Linked DNA regions of Bombyx mori. The protein of the gene in region 1 purifies or fractionates together with the protein of each later gene. This does not show direct contact. Links are inferred from orthologs where the notes say so. Each region holds a gene or a part of one and is shown in the gene's direction. Other genes may lie near its edges.

Evidence for each region. Proteins that work in one complex are often made in the same cells at the same time.
Region 2: the proteins of transcriptional adaptor 3 (region 1) and transcriptional adapter 2A purify together in Drosophila melanogaster (affinity purification with mass spectrometry; 5 studies listed by BioGRID, with this or other methods). This does not show direct contact. The link is inferred for Bombyx mori from reciprocal best matches to the Drosophila melanogaster genes Ada3 and Ada2a.
Region 3: the proteins of transcriptional adaptor 3 (region 1) and histone acetyltransferase KAT2A purify together in Drosophila melanogaster (affinity purification with western blotting; 3 studies listed by BioGRID, with this or other methods). This does not show direct contact. The link is inferred for Bombyx mori from reciprocal best matches to the Drosophila melanogaster genes Ada3 and Gcn5.

The regions. Positions count from the first base shown.
Region 1 is NC_085109.1:9,154,559-9,160,678, reverse strand, and holds transcriptional adaptor 3, read left to right. Parts: upstream 1-2,331; 5' UTR 2,332-2,564; coding exon 2,565-3,947; 3' UTR 3,948-4,027; downstream 4,028-6,120.
Region 2 is NC_085111.1:1,074,504-1,080,158, forward strand, and holds transcriptional adapter 2A, read left to right. Parts: upstream 1-2,888; 5' UTR 2,889-2,896; coding exon 2,897-4,195; 3' UTR 4,196-4,205; downstream 4,206-5,655. Other genes in the region: DnaJ-5 (dnaJ (Hsp40) homolog 5), read right to left, coding at 1-397; cysteine-rich protein 2-binding protein, read right to left, coding at 2,796-2,888, 4,798-4,878, 5,600-5,655. UniProt on the Drosophila melanogaster protein: Component of the histone acetyltransferase (HAT) complex ATAC; predominantly involved in acetylation of histone H4, including at Lys-6 (H4K5ac) and Lys-13 (H4K12ac).
Region 3 is NC_085120.1:4,790,317-4,797,085, reverse strand, and holds the start of histone acetyltransferase KAT2A, read left to right. Parts: upstream 1-3,019; 5' UTR 3,020-3,207; coding exon 3,208-3,289; intron 3,290-4,382; coding exon 4,383-4,561; intron 4,562-5,285; coding exon 5,286-5,412; intron 5,413-5,789; coding exon 5,790-5,935; intron 5,936-6,769.

The DNA.
Region 1 (6,120 bases):
CGAGATAGCATGATATGAAATATCATGGGACAGTGCAAAAGTCAAAATGGTGCTAATTTCTCCTGGTGTATTCAGTATGACTATTGGCTTCTGTGGTAGTGCCATCGCTGCCAGAATCGACTTAATAAAATCCGTATATGTACTATAAATATAGTTGATTAATTTGAATCCGTACACTATAATATATATACACCGTAATAAAGTATATTGGAAGTATTGGAATGGAACGAGATGTTGTCCTACTAAAATTTTGGGAATTTACTAAGACTTCAGAGGGCTTTACGTGTTCCAATTGTAACATAGCCTTCACTGCAATCCAGCACACTTCACACTGTTTAAACGCTATGCTATATTCGTATCATTTCCACTTCTTACACTACCCCTATTACGGTAAGTCTATAAGGGAATGGTAGTAGTACTAGAACTTTGCAATATACTAAATTTTCGTCACACCTTACAGTACTTTTACAGTACATTCTTTCTCCTCTAATATTTTCAATTTTTATTAATCTCATTACCGAAAATCTTCAATGTGCGTACCATCTATATGCCGATGATTTGCAGCTTTATGCTGAGGCTGGAGTCGATAGTGTGTCTTCGGCAGTTGGAAAAATAAATAACGATCTGTCCTACATTAAATCCTGGTCTGACGGTTTCGGCATAAGCGTGTATCTCGCCAAATGTCAGGCTATTATTGTTGGAAGTCAACGCTTGTTATATCGGTTGGATATGGCATATGTCCCATCGGTTATATATGATGGCTCAACCATCAACTGGTGTTCAGTTGTAAAGGACCTAGGCCTACTTATTGACTCCAGTCTGAGTTGGCGAGCCCAGGTTATCTCCGTGTGTCAGCGAGTTACACTTACACTCCGTATGCTTTCATCGTCGCCGCCGATCATTCGTCATCTAATTGATAATGTTTGTTTATATATGTTTTTATATGTATATATTTATGATATGTATATGTATATATTTATGTATATCTATATATTTACGTCTATGTATTTATTTAAGTATGAGTATTTGTATCTATAAATATTATGTATGTTATATATACACATGTTTAAGTAATATCACCTTCACGCTACACCTACCAAGCTTCATCTCTGCACTCCCCTAAGGTAGACTGGTAGAGAATGTCTATGGCATTAAATCCGCCTTTATACTTTCTAGTATAAGAAGTTATAAATAAATAAATATTTGCAGTGTGGTAGTTTAAGGCGGTTCTTAAATTTTTTCGACTAGCTACTATGGCGCTACCTTAATTGGTTCTCTTTTAACGTACACTTTTTTCGGTGATATGGTATTCCTTCATTTTTCTCTTTGAATTAGGTAGGTATATAGGTACTAATCTGACAATCTGTTGACTGACAAATGACAAGTGGCAACATTGACTTTATGTAGGTAAAACTGGACTTTTTGGCGGGAACGCGAGGAGTGAAGTTGTGTGATTTGTTTTATTTTGTCTATTTAGTGTTTCTTCAGGTTTAAATGTGTAATAACGGTGGTTTATTAACTGTTTAATATCTGTGAAAGTGCACAAATGTGGGAAAAAGAAACAAAGCCGCTGGACGTAACTTCTCGGGATCCTCCACAAAGTCCACTGAAAAAATCTTAGTAAATGACCACCATTTTACTGAGATTATATTTCATCCCATATCATCTCATCTCATTTCATTTAATTTCATCCCAGTTGATTAATGTCTCAAATTAATCATTTTCATTTCATTTCACCCCATATTATCATTTTTCATAAAAATATGAATATAAATTAAAATAAGACATGACTTAAAGGTCTTAGTTACCAGGTCGTAAAATCACTTAAAAAAAAAGTAGGTAAAACTTCTGACTTTTTGGCGGGAACGCGAGGAATGAAGTTGTGTGATTTGTTTTATTTTGTCTATTTAGTGTTTCTTCAGGTTTAAATGTGTAATAACGGTGGTTTATTAACTGTTTAATATCTGTGAAAGTGCACAAATGTGGGAAAAAGAAACAAAGCCGCTGGACGTAACTTCTCGGGATCCTCCACAAAGTCCACTGAAAAAATCTTAGTAAATGACCACCATTTTACTGAGATTATATTTCATCCCATATCATCTCATCTCATTTCATTTAATTTCATCCCAGTTGATTAATGTCTCAAATTAATCATATTCATTTCATTTCACTCCATAATATCATTTTTCATAAAAATATGAATATAATTTAAAATCAGAAATGACTTAAAGGTCTTAGTTACCAGGTCATAAAATCCCTTAAAAAAAAGGTAAAGCTTCTGTGTTAAAAACGGTATCAAATAAAAAATAAGTTTTATTTTCTGAACGCCATTTTGTTCTGTGATTTCGGCATTTGTTTTGCTGTACTAGAGAAACTTTAAGAATTACGCTTTTGTCTTAAAAAATCAACACAAGTTGAGTCATAGACGTGATATTAACGTTAAGTACTTTAAAGTCTAACATTTTAAAGTGATTCCAAGATTTCAGTGCAATAAATAATGTAGATTAGCGTAGAATATTGGGCTTGTGTTATTTATTTTGGCGGGTAAATTATATTGAATCGAGATGCTGGGTAAGAGGATGCATCATAATAGCAAAGGCAGACTAGCTAACAAAGACAATGGAAAGCCATCAAGCCCTGGAATTACACCATACACTAAACCAACAAAGATTCCAGGTTCTGTTTCTACTGCCAAAATCAAAGTTGAGACATGCCCAATTCCATACATTAAAATACAAGATAATGCAGTGCTTTTGCCACGATTTACTGCGGTTGCAGCGAGATCTGCTGATGAACCTATTGGGATGGATGAGCTGGATGGGTTACAGTTGGAATTAGAGTCATTGCTATGTAATACTGCCCTACGATGCAGATATTTTCAATCTGAAATAGAAAGCATAGATTCGAATGAATCTAAAAGAGAAAAAAAAGGCAAAGCAGCCGGTAAACAGCTACAGTATCCTGTAAAAAGAAAATTTCAAGATGACAAAGTGGTTAAAACTAAAGACTACACAAAATTATCCAATCAGCCAAAAGTGCCTAAATTTAAAAATTTCTCAAACGCTTCCTCAGGATCTCATACCTACTCTAATGATTTAGTGAATTCAGACAACTCTGTAAAACTTGAACTTTCACAATTAGCACTGCCTAAAAATAATATCCCATATAAATTTTGGAATTCAGTAGAGCCTTATTGTGCTCCTGTAACATTGGATGATATAAAATTTTTAGAGTCCTTATTAGCTCAAAGCAGTAACACCACACTACCTCCGATCCCTCCATTAGGAAAGCATTACTCAGAAGTTTGGGCAGATGAACATCTTGCTGAAGATCAAAATGCATCTAATCCTAATAAGCAAAAATCATCTATGTCTCCAGATGCATCTCATGCTCGTAAGAAGCTAGAAAAGTCATCAGAAAGCATGATAACTGGACCTTTGACACAAAGATTAGTCTCTGCTCTTATGGAAGAGAATGTGATGTCTTATGAAATACCTGATATTAAAGTAAAAATGGTCTCCACCACTAAAAGTGGCTACAAGAATTCATTAACATTAGAAAAGTGTTTGAGGAAGGAATTGGTTGAACAAGGAATACTTGATCCAGAGGATTTACCACCTCTCACTAATCCAGCTGATGATGAAATACTAGCAGAGATTAAAAAATGTCAAACAGAATTAACAGCTGTACGTAAAGAGAATTGTCGAAATCTTAAAAATTTAATTGGTTTGTGTAAACAAGAAATGATTAGACTGAATCTGAAAAAGCAACTGGATCAAGTGGATCTAGAATGTATTGATATTTATAAAAAGATGGTAGCGGCTAAACAAAAGAAGCGCCCTGTTACTAAGAAGGAAAAAGAAGATGCTTGGAAAGCAATAAATGAACAAATAAGGCTAAACAAAGAAATCAATGCTTTGCCACAAACGGGTCCAAATTCAAATTAGATATTAGTGTTCGGCATGATACAAAAATAACATGTGGTAATTATTCTAGGAGTATCTGTTGAATTAAATATGGAAAAATACTTGTTTTATTACTGTGACTACTAACTACTTATTTGGCAAATTTGACCTTGGCCTTGGATTATGGCCTTGACTTTTTAAAGGATAAGATGTTTAGTGCATTTTTATCTAGTGATGCAACAATGTTTGAATCCCGCAGGTGGGTACCAATTATTCTAATGAAATATGTATTTAACAAATGTTCACAATAGACTTCCACCGTGTAGGGACTTCTCATCATGTAAAAAAAATCAAACCTGCAAGTTTATAATTTGCACAATTACTCTGGTGGTAAGATGTCTTGTGAATCTGCACAGAACAGAACTAATGAATGCTAATGCAAATTTTTTATTTACTGCAGATTTTGTATTACCTCATTTTATTTTGTTATATACGAGTCGTCTATTATCAAAGGTGGCAATCTGTGCATTTGGACAAAAAAATGTTATTGGTATGTCAATACAGATTGATTTGAATATAATCGTCTCCTTCAAAGAATACGGTTCAAAACCTGCATTAAATAAAGGTTAATACTTAACCTGTTATTTATCTAAGATGTAGTTAAGAAGAGTTTTGTGACTGCCAATGGAATACAAAGTCAATAATTCGTTTTTCTGATTTACCAATAATTGTCCAAAAGTCACATTGCCGGCTTTGATAATAGTCGACTCATATAAGGTTGGGGAAAAGTTTCTTAACATTTTTTAAGAAAATTCACGACATTTTTAATATAGTTTATTTATATTTAACTAATACCATTTTGTTCAATAACTTTTTGCTATCTTGTAGGTTTTTTGGAGGTTCTGATCAATATACTGCGACAATTGATTTTGGTAGTGCTCTTGTGATGTTAACCTGACACTGCCTAAAAAATTCTAAAGAGACCAAAGCAGGTGGAAATCTGAAGCTGCAAGGTCAGGACTATACGGCGGATGCATTAACACCTCACAGCCAGGCTCTTAATTTTTGCTGATTGGCTAAAGATGTGTGAGGTCTAGCATTATCATGATGAAAAATTACACCTCTTCTCTTGATTAATTCCGGCCGCTTTCTCTCAACTTCTTGCTTTAATCTCATCAGTTGTTCACAGTACAGTTCAGAATCGATGGTCCAGCCTAGTGGTAACAGCTCATAATGAATAATGCCCTTCTAATCCCTCCACACACAGCATCACCTTGTTGCGAGTTAACCCGGGTTTCGCCACAGTCTGTGAAGCCTTACCGGCCTTTGACCACGACCTTTTTCGCACGTTCTTGTCGGACGTGAGCCACTTTTCATCCCAGTTATCAGCTTCTTCAAAAATGGTTCGGTTTCATTACGTCGTAATAAAGAATCACAAATTAGTACACGGTTCATTAGGTTTTTTTCAGTGAGCTCATGAGGTAGGTACCCAAATACCGAGCTTTTTTGTGTACCCAATTTTTTTCAAATGCGCCAAAACTGTTTTGTGGTCAATTCCCCAGTTCTTTAGCTACGTCGTAACTACTGATATGCCGATTTTGCTCCACTAATTCAAAAATGGCATCCATTTTATCCGTAATAGGGCGACCAGAGCGACGTGCATCTTTGACATCAAAATTTCCGGATTGAAAACGCTTAAACCAAATTTGTGCTACTCTCACAGACACTGCACTAGGTCCATAAACATCGCAAATTTTTTTCGCGGCTTGCGTTGCATTTTTACCTTTTTTGTAGTAAAATTTTAAAAGGTATCGAATTTCTTCATTAGATTCACTCATCTTGACCATAGCTTATAATCTAAGCTTACAAGTCTTATGCCGACCACTGACGGCGCGCGCCGTCAAACATTCATTCGCAAACCTAGCGGCTGTGCAAATGGGTTCGCATACTCAATTTGCGAACCCGTTTGCGCTTCCTCCTACACTTGTTTACGAATGTCTCACGAATTTCTCCTTTTTAATTCGTCAATAGAACATTGAAGAGAAAAAGAGTCTTGAATTCTTTCCCAGACATCATTAACAGCCATGCTGTTTTTATGGGATTTCTTTTGATGAAGATACGCTACACAGTACATGTCACGAACTATGAAAATGGCGATAGGCGATACGTCCGTTACCTTCGAAATCGTCGGCGCAACTGGGCAAACGAATGTGTG
Region 2 (5,655 bases), on another chromosome or scaffold:
TATCCACATCCATGTCGCGGTCGAAGAACGTTGTAGTTCCACCTCCATTCAGATCGAAGAATTCCTGGAACGGGCTGGCCGAACCAAAGAACTGCGCGAACGTTGCTTTCGGGTCGCCGTGGAACGTGTAGGAAAATGATTGACCGCCACCAGGACCATTCTGCCCGCCCATACCACCCTTTAGGCCTTCTTCGCCGTGCGCATCATAAATTTCTCTTTTCTTCTTGTCCGATAAAACCTCATAAGCTTCTGCCACTTCTTTAAACCTTTCCTCTGCGCCCGCAGCCTTGTTCTTGTCCGGGTGGTACTTTAATGCCAATTTTCTGTAGGCTTTCTTGATGTCATCGTCCGAAGCACCTTTTGTTATTCCCAATATTTTATAGTAGTCTTTGCCCATTTTGATTTGTACTGAAACAAAAAAAAAAGATCAGTCTCGACGTTTGACACCTTTTTTGGAAGCACGATTTCGTCGATCATTTTCGTTTCATAAATTTGATAGACCACATTTTATAACAAAACCACGGTTTTTAAATGAAAAAAATCAACATAGCATTTTCAGAACACTTACTTGTATTAGAGAAACTTTAATCCTTGATAATTTAAGCACAATTTACGAAATTTTAGCAAATAATCACAACGCAAAACTCAACACTTCACTTCAGCAATATCACAATTGAATGAAACGCGGCGCTCTCGTCGAACCAAAATATATACATCAAAACATCTAGAACATTCTAGGACCTTCACCCGTGACGTGAGCGAGATGCAATAAAAAGAAAGCAATATGAACTAGCTAATGTTAAAAAGAGACAAATATAAATTTCTATGTTCATCGGCTAATGGGCACGTCATTTTCTCGAATCTCGACCCGATTATAAATGTCAGTATGTTCTCGTTGTTTCTTTTTTATTTTACCATGTTCTCTGTTACGACTTAATAAATAAAAAATGCAATATTTAATTGTTCATGTTTTCAAAATATTATCTATTTAATGATTATTCTGAAAAGGGGATTATTTATTTTAAAGCGATACTAGTGTTTATTATATCTTTTAGATTGTTTTTTTTATTAGATCTACTGTTAACAAATTCAAAAATTAAGGAAGCTTATCAAAGAAGAACATCATCTATCATAGCGGGTTAATCAAATGATACATTTTGGATTTAGTTACCCAGTTTTCCTAAGTAAACTAAAACACTGTGTTTTATTCGTTGCTGGTAAAGTATGGAGGTTAGAGGTAAGCAGAACCAGCTGTAAGCATCACCCGCTGTTTGCCTTTACCGTCCATACTTTTCGAGAAATGGTTTTCTGTGTATGAAAAAGTGATCGTCGAAAGGCGACCAATTAGGGTAGCGCCATCGTAGGCAGTGGTGTAATTTTAAAGATAGCCCAGAAAGTTTTTCAACTAAGCATACTTCACTCCCTTACAATTTCTACATCATCCATTTGCTACACTAGCCCTGTTTTAATGAGTTTTCTGAATTGCAATTTGCTGCTTACAGCCGGATGCTTCTTCAACTTGTCTCTCATTTTAAGATAGTTCTCCTTACCTATAAGTACACACCTAAGAGTTAAGTATGAAGTCGTAACAGATATTTAGCAGTGATACATAGTAAACGTTGACAAAGACATAAGTACAGATATATGAAAAAGTAGGAATGATCCTTCTTCTCGAAAAAGAGAAAATCGACTGCCCATAAATATATTTTTTCGATATTCGCTTTTTTTTTATTTTCCGTGTAATGTCACCAGCACCGACTTTAAAATACTTTTTTAATATCGATGCTTTGATGTCAAATGGAATGGATCGGATTGAAATGAATTTGTTTATTAACTGATATTGTCATCAATTTGCGTTGTTTCAATAGATTTTTTGGAAGAACCCGAGACGTCACGTTCAGCAACTTTATTTCATTTTCCAATAATAATGGATTTTCACACATGATATGATGATAACCTGTTTGCAAATGCATTTTGATTTGCTAATGTCCTAGATGGATTGGCTATTATAATGATAAAAAGATCGATTTAAACAGAAATCAATCCCTGATCACCATCCCTACTCACCGAGATATGTAGTTATTTTGAATAAAGTTATGTATGTATGACAGGGCAAGAACAAAAAAGGTAAGATCTTTTTGGCGGAACCGCGAGGAGTGAAGTTGTGTGATTTGTTTGTTAGATTTAAATGTGTAATAACGTGGCTTATTAACTGTTTAGTATCTGTGAAAGTGCACAAATGTGGGAAAATGAAACAAAGGCACTGGACGTAACTTCTCGGGATCTTCCAAAAAGTCAATTGAAAAAGTCTTAGTAAATGACCACCATTTTACTGAGATTATATTTTATCCCATATTATCCAACCTCATTTCATTTCATGCCATGTTTCATTAATCAACTTCATTTAATTACACTTCATATTATCATTTTTCATATAAAATGAATTATAAAAGATTAGGCTGTATGGTATGATACCATTGACTTTTCAGTTGAAAAAATAAAACTACTACTATTATGTAGGAACCGTACTTACTTAAATATTGTATTTTCTAAACGTTTGCTGAAATAGTAATCCCTAACATTACATAGTTTAACCGGTTTTACTAAATAGAAAAAAATCACTATCTTCTATTGTAAACCAATAAACAACTGATCTGTGCGTGAAGTTCTATCGAAATGTAGGTGTTTAGTTCTTTTGTTTTTGAATTTTTGAAGTTTGTTCAATAGGTAAGTGATAGTTAGACTATTAGGTTTTGTTTGTAAATAAAATAAAGGTTTTTAAAGTACTACTTTATTTATCTGACAAGTCGAAGAAAGAGCGCGTGCCGGCATCCCTTGTATTCGATGTCGTAGTACTTCTCATAAAAGTCTTGTATAAGTTCTTCAACCTGAAATAATGTCCAGAGATATACTACAAACGAACTGCGATTTGTGTTCAGAAGTCGCACACGAGCCTTTTATCGAATGTTGCGAGTGCGAAAGCAATGTTTGCACTCCTTGTTTTTCATCCGGCAAGGAAACAGAAATGCATAAAAATGACCACAAATACGCGATAAGAAGAAATGATTTTCCATTATTCGGTAATTGCAATTGGTCTGCTAAAGAAGAGTGCAAATTGTTATCAGCACTTTCTACATACGGATTCGGAAATTGGGAAGAAATATCTAAGAATGTGCACACACGTTCTAAACTCGAATGTCAAGAGCATTATAGGAAATATTACATAGAGAATGTGCAGTATAAAGAATTGAGATTACTAAAGGAAACACAACAGTCACTTTTTCCAATGCCAATTACTCCATACTTGTACAATACAGATGTAAGCACTAATCCGCCTAGAAATAACAGTTCAGATCAACATTTAGCTGGTTACAATACATATAGATCTGAATTTGAATTCAGTTATGATCACAATGCTGAAAGCATATTTAATATTGAAGACAGTTACTCTGAAGATGATGATGAGGATGAGGATGAAATGGACATGATGGATTCTTTAAAGGTGTCTTTAGTGAATGCTCTTAATACAAGATTAAGAGAAAGACATAGAAGGTATAAAATTATACAGAATCATGGCTTAGTAATGCCAAATAAGCTTTTCTCATGGATCCAAAAGTTTGACCTCACTATAACACGACAGAAAGCAGAACGATTGCTTTGCTTCATGCAGTTCATGACAGGAATACAGTTTGACGCTTTCATGGAATCCATGAGCTTAGAGAACGAGCTGTTACAGAGAATTGGACATTTATGTGAATACCGTAAGAATGGTATAAAAACTCTTTATACTGCCAAACTTTATAAGCAACTTAAAAAAGAAAATGACATAATCATGAAAGAACAAAAGTATGCTACATGTGTTATGGCCAAGAAATTTGAAAATCAATCACCAGTGAAGACTATGTACACAAAAAACCACCAAGTGCTGCGTTACAAGCGTATGGCAATGCCCTTAGAAATAATTGACTTGCCAGGTTTCCACAGGCTGAGTGAGGCTGAACAAGTACTATGTTCTAATTTGAGGCTTGTACCAACAAACTACTTGGAAATAAAAGAGCATCTTATAGCTCAGAACAGTAAGCTTGGATTCCTACGACTTTTAGATGCAAGGAAAATTGTTAAAATAGATGTAAATAAGACTAGGAAAATTTATGATTATTTGTTATATGAAGGTTTTATAAGTAAACCATTGTGACTATGACAAATTGGTATCATTTAACACCACATATGCTATGCTGAATTGCAGATACACACACTTGTCAACTATTTATCAATCGAAAATTATTATGCAACAAAGTATTGTTAGCCTGTGTGTATTTCTACCACTAATGTGCCTATTTTAGTCTTAAAGTATTCATACTTTCAATATAACTTGAACAGTGTGAGAGCAGTGACATTACAATACTTTGGGATAGGTGAGTTGGGTGTGAGCTCAGAAGCCCAACTGCAGAAATGAAATATTCATAGTTCACGTTGTCTGTTTGTCTGTTCTTTGTGCACAAAATGTTACTTTTGGATTCATTATCAACAAATAATGTGGTAGTGTAAAATGCGATGAAAATAGTTAGATACATAGATACATTGGTAATATGAGGTATGAGGTCAAAATTTTAGTAGCTTTGAAATAGTAGACTAATCTATGCATCAGCATGTTTCTGGCGTGAAGCAGTTTTGTAAAACTCCAGATAAGTTTACATAATAATTACAATACATTGAGTGATATTCATAATGTATCATAATATGCTGATAATACATTGTACCATAATACCAGAGAAATAGGGTTTTCATGATACTCACTTTGAAGCCAAATTTTTGATATAAAAATATAGCTGGATTTGTTGGTGACACATGCAGTGTGATATCTTGGCCCGTGCAAGTCTGTAAGTAAAAAAGGTAATTGTCTACAACACTTAAGCCTGAACCTTATATTAGCAAATAATTTAAGGTAAACATACAATGCAGTTGATACTTTGACCCATAGAGTAAGATTATATATAACCTAACTTTGACCTGAAGTCACCAGTATTCAATGCAGGGTGAACCTTCTTTATTTAAAAAAAATGAACAGTTTTGTGTCCGTTGCCATGCAACCCATATCATGATCCGTTTTACTGATTGAATTAATATTATATTAATACGTTGACCGCCATGTAGGGCACTGATGCCCTACGCGGCGCACTGAGGTAATTATGTCGATCTCTATTACTAAGCGCTGGGATTGCTTAATTTTGCCTTCTTTTGTGTTTAATATAATATGTTTTAGTATTTTAGGTCTCCAGAAATATATTCATTCTCAGTATCTTCGAATTCTTTCCCAGCGACTACGAGATGTTTCAGCGCCTTAGTAAGAAGATAGAAAAGAGAGAAATCGACATAATTACTTGAGTGCGCCACGTAGGGCACCGGTGACCTACATGGCAGTCAACGTATTAAGATCTGGCGATATGTTCTTACTTCGTATGTTCTTCACTGGAGATACAACTTTCTTTTTTAAAGAAAGTTTCTCCACTACGGAGACTGGATTATGTGGTAACCAGATCCATCTTCCTGAAATATCGCAATAAATGTCCGCCTTACTGTTCCTCATGGGCGAGTATACCTGAAGTAGATGGTACAGCATGAATGTAGCTATGCCGGCCCTGCCCCACTCCGGCC
Region 3 (6,769 bases), on another chromosome or scaffold:
AACTTCGCCTTGGTTGGCTAATAAGAGACCATATTTTATGATATTTTCGGGGTAGGTGCGACATAGCCGATAGATAGATTAGAAGGATTGATGAGGGGTGAACTGACCAGATAGCGAAAGTTTGACACGTGACGCGGGTTCACAAGCTGCGATCGGTCCCGTGAAACGCACCCTCTCCCACAATATCACTAATGGATATTTTCATTATGGCACTTTGATGATTGTTTACAAAAACATTCCTCTGTTTCTCGCTGCTGACGCTTCAGTCTGAGAGATAATTCTTTTTGGTATTTGGTAAAAATTTAATTATTAATATTGGTAAACAAATAATTTGGTGGTGGTAGGACCTCATGTGAGTCCGCACGGGTAGGTACCACCCTATACTGAGACCTTAGAACTTATATCTCAAGGTGGGTGGCGTATTTGCGTTGTAAATGTCTATGGGCTCCAGTAACCACTTAACACCAGGTGGGCTGTGAGCTTGTCCACTCATCTAAGCAATAAAAAAAAAACAATTTGGGACCATTCTCTGCTGTTTTTTTAAATCTATTTTCTTTTTCGTTCAGTGCCTAACTATTGATGAATTTTAGTGCTATCAATATTAATAAAAACGACAGTTATTTTTCCCCTACACAAGAAAAAAATTAATTAAACAAAAAATTTAATGTAATAATTTTTTTCAATCGCTTAGATTGTTGGGCAAGCTCACGGTTTGCCTGGTTTATGTGGTTACCGGAGCCTATAGAGAGGCTATATCAGCGTAACCTTAACCTGAGCTCACGGGGCTCAAACCTGACGACGTTGCTAAAACGAACCCTAGCAAGAGCCGTGCTTCGCAGAATCTACCACCGGATCGGAAACGCGACCCACTGAAAAGATCCAGCGAGAAACTCAGTGGGCTGTGTCTGAGGGTTAATTTACTCGTCGAGCCCTTCGTCGCAAGCGACGGGTTCGACGGGTGCTTGAGGTACCTAAAAGCACCCTTAGTGGATCGGGAGGATCCAAAATGACGTGTTTGGGGTGACGTTGCCTGCTTTCCACTCTTTCCGCAGGATCGGGAACGTAGTTACCGGCGGCCACGATGAGAGGGTTCTCGTGTCGTGCCGCTTTATCGAAGTGGCGCATCGACGCCGACTGCAGATGACTGATGGACTCTAAGTCCAGGTCGTCGTGGAGGTCGACGTTCCTGACGAACCACAGAGCTCCGACGGCTATCCTGCAAAAACGGGATTGAATAACCTAGAATGATTTTAAGTTGGTGCGGGCCGCGTGAGCGAACACTACACTTGCATAGGTAATGACGGGGCGTATGCAAGTTTTGTAGAGTGTCACCTTATTTCTAAGGGACAATTTACTTCGCCTGCATATCGTCGGGTAGAGGCGTCCTAGTATGAAGTCGGCACGGTCGCGTACCGTCTTTATGTGGGGGCGGAATGTCACCCCTCTGTCGAGGGTGACACCTAAGTATTTGGCTTTCGGGGCCCACGGTATGGGTTGGTCGTACATGATAATTGGGCGAATGGCGGAAGCGGAGGTGTTAACGCGCCTAGTCTGGAGTGGAATGCTCAAGGTGTTATTCGGAGAGCGACCCCTTTTGAAGAGCTTTTGAAGAGCACCGCTGTGCTTTTCATGGGGTTTGTGTAGATGCGCTACTTCCGGAACCACTGTCCCATGGTGGTGGCTGCGGTCTGGAGTCGTCGATGCAATAACGACTTCTTCCTACACGCCCACACGAGTAGTAGATAGCCGTGTCATCGGCGAAGAGTGCCAGATGGGTCTTCGGAGACCGGGGTATATCATTGATATACAAATTAAACAGTAACGGGGAGAGGGCGGAGCCTTGCGGGACTCCGGCTGTAGGCTGTAACGTGACGGGGGCGAGAGTGCGTTCCCTCGACCCGATATCGGAACGAACGGTTCGACAAGTAGTCTCGTATGATGAGCCATACCACCATTAATCACTTATTCCTTAGTAACAAAATTTGTTAGAATAATTGGTAATTACATGCCTGCTTTGAACAACAACATATGTTCATTCGGGGTTGTCCGATTGCGCTGAACTAATTTTAAGTGATGAAATAGATGTTTTTTCTAATTCTCTCATAGCTTACAGGAAAAATTTGTCGCAGATCATTTTCCAACTAAATATAAATTGATCATAAGTAATTGAATGTAATCAAGTTTTATATATAATATTCGCATATTAGAGTCGCATTATGCTCTGTAATTGGAAAACTAATACAGGTAGTTTTCCAGTTACAGAGCATAATGCGACTCAGTGACGCACAATGCCGAATTATGCTGAAGCTTATTTATGCATTGTGCCGCTTAATGCGCTCTTGTGCTGTTATTGGAAAACTACCAGAGACGGTTCTCCTTTTTTTTTAAGAGATTTTATGACCTGGTAACTGAGACCTTTAAGTCATGTCTTATTTTAATGTATATTCTTAATTTTATGAAAAATGATATTATGGAGTGAAATGAAATAAAAATGATTAATTTCAGACTTTAATCAACTGGGATGAAATTAAATAAGATGATATGAGATGAAATCTAATATCAGTAAAATGGTGGTCATTTACTAAGATTTTTTCAGTGGACTTTTTGGAGGATCCCGAGAAGTTACGTCCAGCGGCTTTGTTTCATTTTCCCACATTTGTGCACTTTCACAGATATTAAACGGTTAATAAACCACCATTATTACACATTTAAACCCGAAGAAACACTAAATAGACAAAAAAAATAAAAAAAATCACACAACTTCACTCCTCGCGTTCCCGCCAAAAAGTCCAGACGGTTCTCCTTACCTCTACCCTCCATAGATTATAGCAAAAAGGAGACAAGTGTATTATCTATGAAGATATATCATATAAGACCTGGCTTCGGCTTTTTTGAAAATTTATTTCAGAGAATATATAGAGCAGACAAGGCTGTATGGGCTTAGATTCCCTTGCCTTTCCTAACAAGGAAAAATGGTACCAAAAAAAAAATATCTATGAAGGAGACAATACTTGTCATTTGAATCTGAAATCTGTGTTAACGTCAACTGTCTAATTCTGATAAAAAGTTTGACTGCTGTTGTTTGCGCCTTATTTCATGTTATCAGTGTAACTATTTCCAAAATGCAGTGAATACATAAATGAGAGCGTTGACTTCTTATTTACGGGAAGAATTACTGCGACAAAAATTTGTTTGTGATTGTATATTATGTCTCAAGCGACTGACGAAATAGCTGACATAGCAATGACAAGCACAGAGCCAGACTCCTCACAAAATCATACACATGAAGGTAAATAAACAAAATCACGCTTCTTCAACTATAATTAATAATTTTGTATAGAAATCACCAGAATAATGACCTTAACATCTTATCGGCTTTTTTAATATATGTAGTTGAAAATGAAAACACCACGTGAACCAAGTTAATTGTAACTGTAAATTTAAATGTATGTGTGTAAATTTAGCTATTGAGCTAAATTTTAACAAAATCGAAATTCAACTGTGTTTTGTATGTGGTAATTTCTCCCGCTATTCTATAGATAGTTGTAAGCCATTAGTACTTGTAATTTCTCTATTACATACACATATAAAAGAATCTTATATAGTGATAGTCTGATCAGCTATTTTTCAGAAAGGCTGGAAACCGTACTTTCTTGAGCTACTACTACATAACCAGGTCTATCTATATTCTCATAAACTTTCTTATCTCAGACTACCCTCATTACAATATTCACCGCTATAAACCAGGTGTGGTGTAGCTTTATATAAGTATGGCGACTAATAGGCCATGTATTGAAAAGCATATTTTAAGTGATGGCCCAACTTGCAATTACTACATAGAAGAATTAGCAGATATTCACCATGTACATGGCGGGACAGATAAATCCATTCCTCATAATTATTCTTGTCATTATATATAAAAATATTATATAGAAACAAAATGACCAAAGGCTGCTATTCCCAAACATGGATATGAAACTGTGTAAGCAATAAGTTTGAAAATGAACATTAGAGGTTTAATAATCATTAGAGGCTTACAACAACAACAACATTAGAGGTTTAATAATCATTAAGGTGCTGGCGAATATTTGTTCAAGTAATAAAATAAAAAGTGCTATCAGTAAAAATTACCACTACATTCTTGTTTGTATCTGTCAAAGCAATTATGAAGGCTTTACTAGGTAAAATAGTCATTTTGGAATGTAATCTGATTGATCTGATATTTGAAGGTGAACAGTAACTTGCACAGTGTGCTTTGTATAGCCACAGGAGATCTCAACACCAAGAAAAACAAACTTCTCCTTTAATTCCAAATAAATTTATTATAATTTGCTACTAAACTACCGCAATAACTCAGCGTTCATTTACAAACTTTCCTCTAGCTACATCAAGCTTAAGTGCAGATGATGCATCATCAAGCAATGCCGGGACTCCTGCAGGCAGTGAAGGACAGGCTTCCCGGCAGTCTAACCTACAAAGGATACAACAAAGAAAACAACAAGTTTTCAACTGGCCCCATAATAAAAAACTACTCAAACTAGCTATATATTCAGCCTGTCAGGTATTGTAAATGAAAATGTTACTAATGCACTGAATGTAATGATGTCCTATCATGACTTTTAAGCGATAAGGAATTAAAAACCATGAAAACATTATTTAATAAAACGAAGTAACTCCTCTTGATCTCAACTTAACATTATACCCATAACTTAAAAGCAAATAGCAATGAATGATGAAAATGATTTTGAAAAACATAATGTTAAGTGTACTGTATAACAATATAAGTATCTAATTTCTAGATTTCATATCCTTTCGCAAATTCTAATTATTCTGCCTTCTGTGAAATAATAAAATGAAAAGAAACATTAAAAAATATGTTATAATTGAGTCGACTATTATCAAAGCCGGCAATCTGACTTTTGGACAATAATTGGTAAATCAGAAAAACGAATTATTGACTTTGTATTCCATTGGCAGTCACAAAACTCTTCGGAACGACATCTTAGATAAATAACAGGTTAACTATTAACCTTTATTTAATGCAGGTTTTAAACCGTATTCTTTGAAGGAGACGATTATATTCAAATGAATCTGTATTGACATATCAATAACATTTTTTTGTCCAAATGCACAGATTGCCGCCTTTGATAATAGACGACTCAATTCAAATATTTTCTATTTAGATGTTAGTAGTACCATTAACCATCAAACATTATAAGTTTATGGACTTATTCAAATTTGACTGACAATATATCATTAGCTATCAGTTTTAATATTTGTGGTAGACACCAGATTGTAACTGCAATGGATGGAAGACTCCAGTAACACAGCATGCGGGCAAGACTCCTCGGGCTGATAATCAGCCCCTTGCCAGCTTCAATGACGTGTGTAGAAACTGCAACCATGTATTAGGTATGAATGAGGAATCTAGTTTATAAATGCCTTTAATTTCTAGAGGGTTAGGTTGAAACTTGTCTTAAAAACAATTTGTAGTAAAATGATTTAAGAGTTTTATTCAATAGCACGTCGTTTAATTATTTTCAATTTATTGAATAAGTGCTGTTCTGATTTACAATATGTCTTATGAATAGTAAAGAACTACTCTAACATACCGAAAACAACTACGAAACACTATTTACTAAACTAAGCATAAAAATTTCTCATTCAAGAAAATTCATGTTTCATTCATTTACAGAATGTGCTATCATTATTAATGAATGGAATATGGTAGGTTAGGAGGTTAGGTAGGATAGGATTTTCAAAGATATATTTTGTGTATCTGCTTCCAGAGAAACATGTAAGTCAGCTACAAGGTTTGCCTGTAGCAGAAGTGAATAGGCTGCTCGGTGCTGTTGTAGACGTAGAGAACATATTTATGTCGATGCAAAGAGAAGATGACCACAACACTAAACAAGTTTACTACTATTTATTTAAGGTTTGTTATTTTAAATTCGCTACCCCAAGCAGACTGGTCCGCGCAGAGGAAAAACACCATGACCTTCTAAGATTAACAAATTCATTTCGGATATAATTATTATGAAGTATTGAGAAACTTCATGAACTCGAAAATAGCCGTGGCAGACATAATGTAGGTTGGAAAAGGAATCAGTGAATTGAAAAGCATATCTTCTAGTGAAGGAATAGAAGATTTAGGTCCTATACTAAAGTCCTCAAGATAACCTCTCGAGGCTAATGGCATAGGTAGACAAAAATAAATAAAAAAAAACATTACAAAGGTGGGACCAGGACTATTGTGTAGGATTTCAAATTAAAAAGAAACTTGCACACAATTGAAGCAATAATAGTCACATTAGAAAGAATAACAATCTTAGACTTAGTACTTCTTACAGAAATAGGAAGGTGTAACGTTAATAAATAAGATAATGCAATGGGAAAATATGCACATGGTAAAAGATGGAGGCACACAGGCACTTTTGCTTTAGATAATAAATTGACCATTCTCAATGGCTTCTATATGAAAAATCTCTGGCACAGATCTCTTCAAATGGAACATATAAAAAAGAAATTGACTTTATCTTGGCCAAAAAGCCCAAAAACCTTCAAGACGTAAACTTAAACAGAACTTTTCATTCAGATCATAAAATGCTATGCGCTCAACTTACAGGAGCACCTATAAAGAATGATAAAAAAAAAACATTGGACCGTAGACCGCCACTATGCAGAACAGAAGATATTGGACAAGTGTCTGAATTTCGAAAGACACTTTCAAGATTGCCTGAATAAGTTCCGAACAATAACATTCGGACCC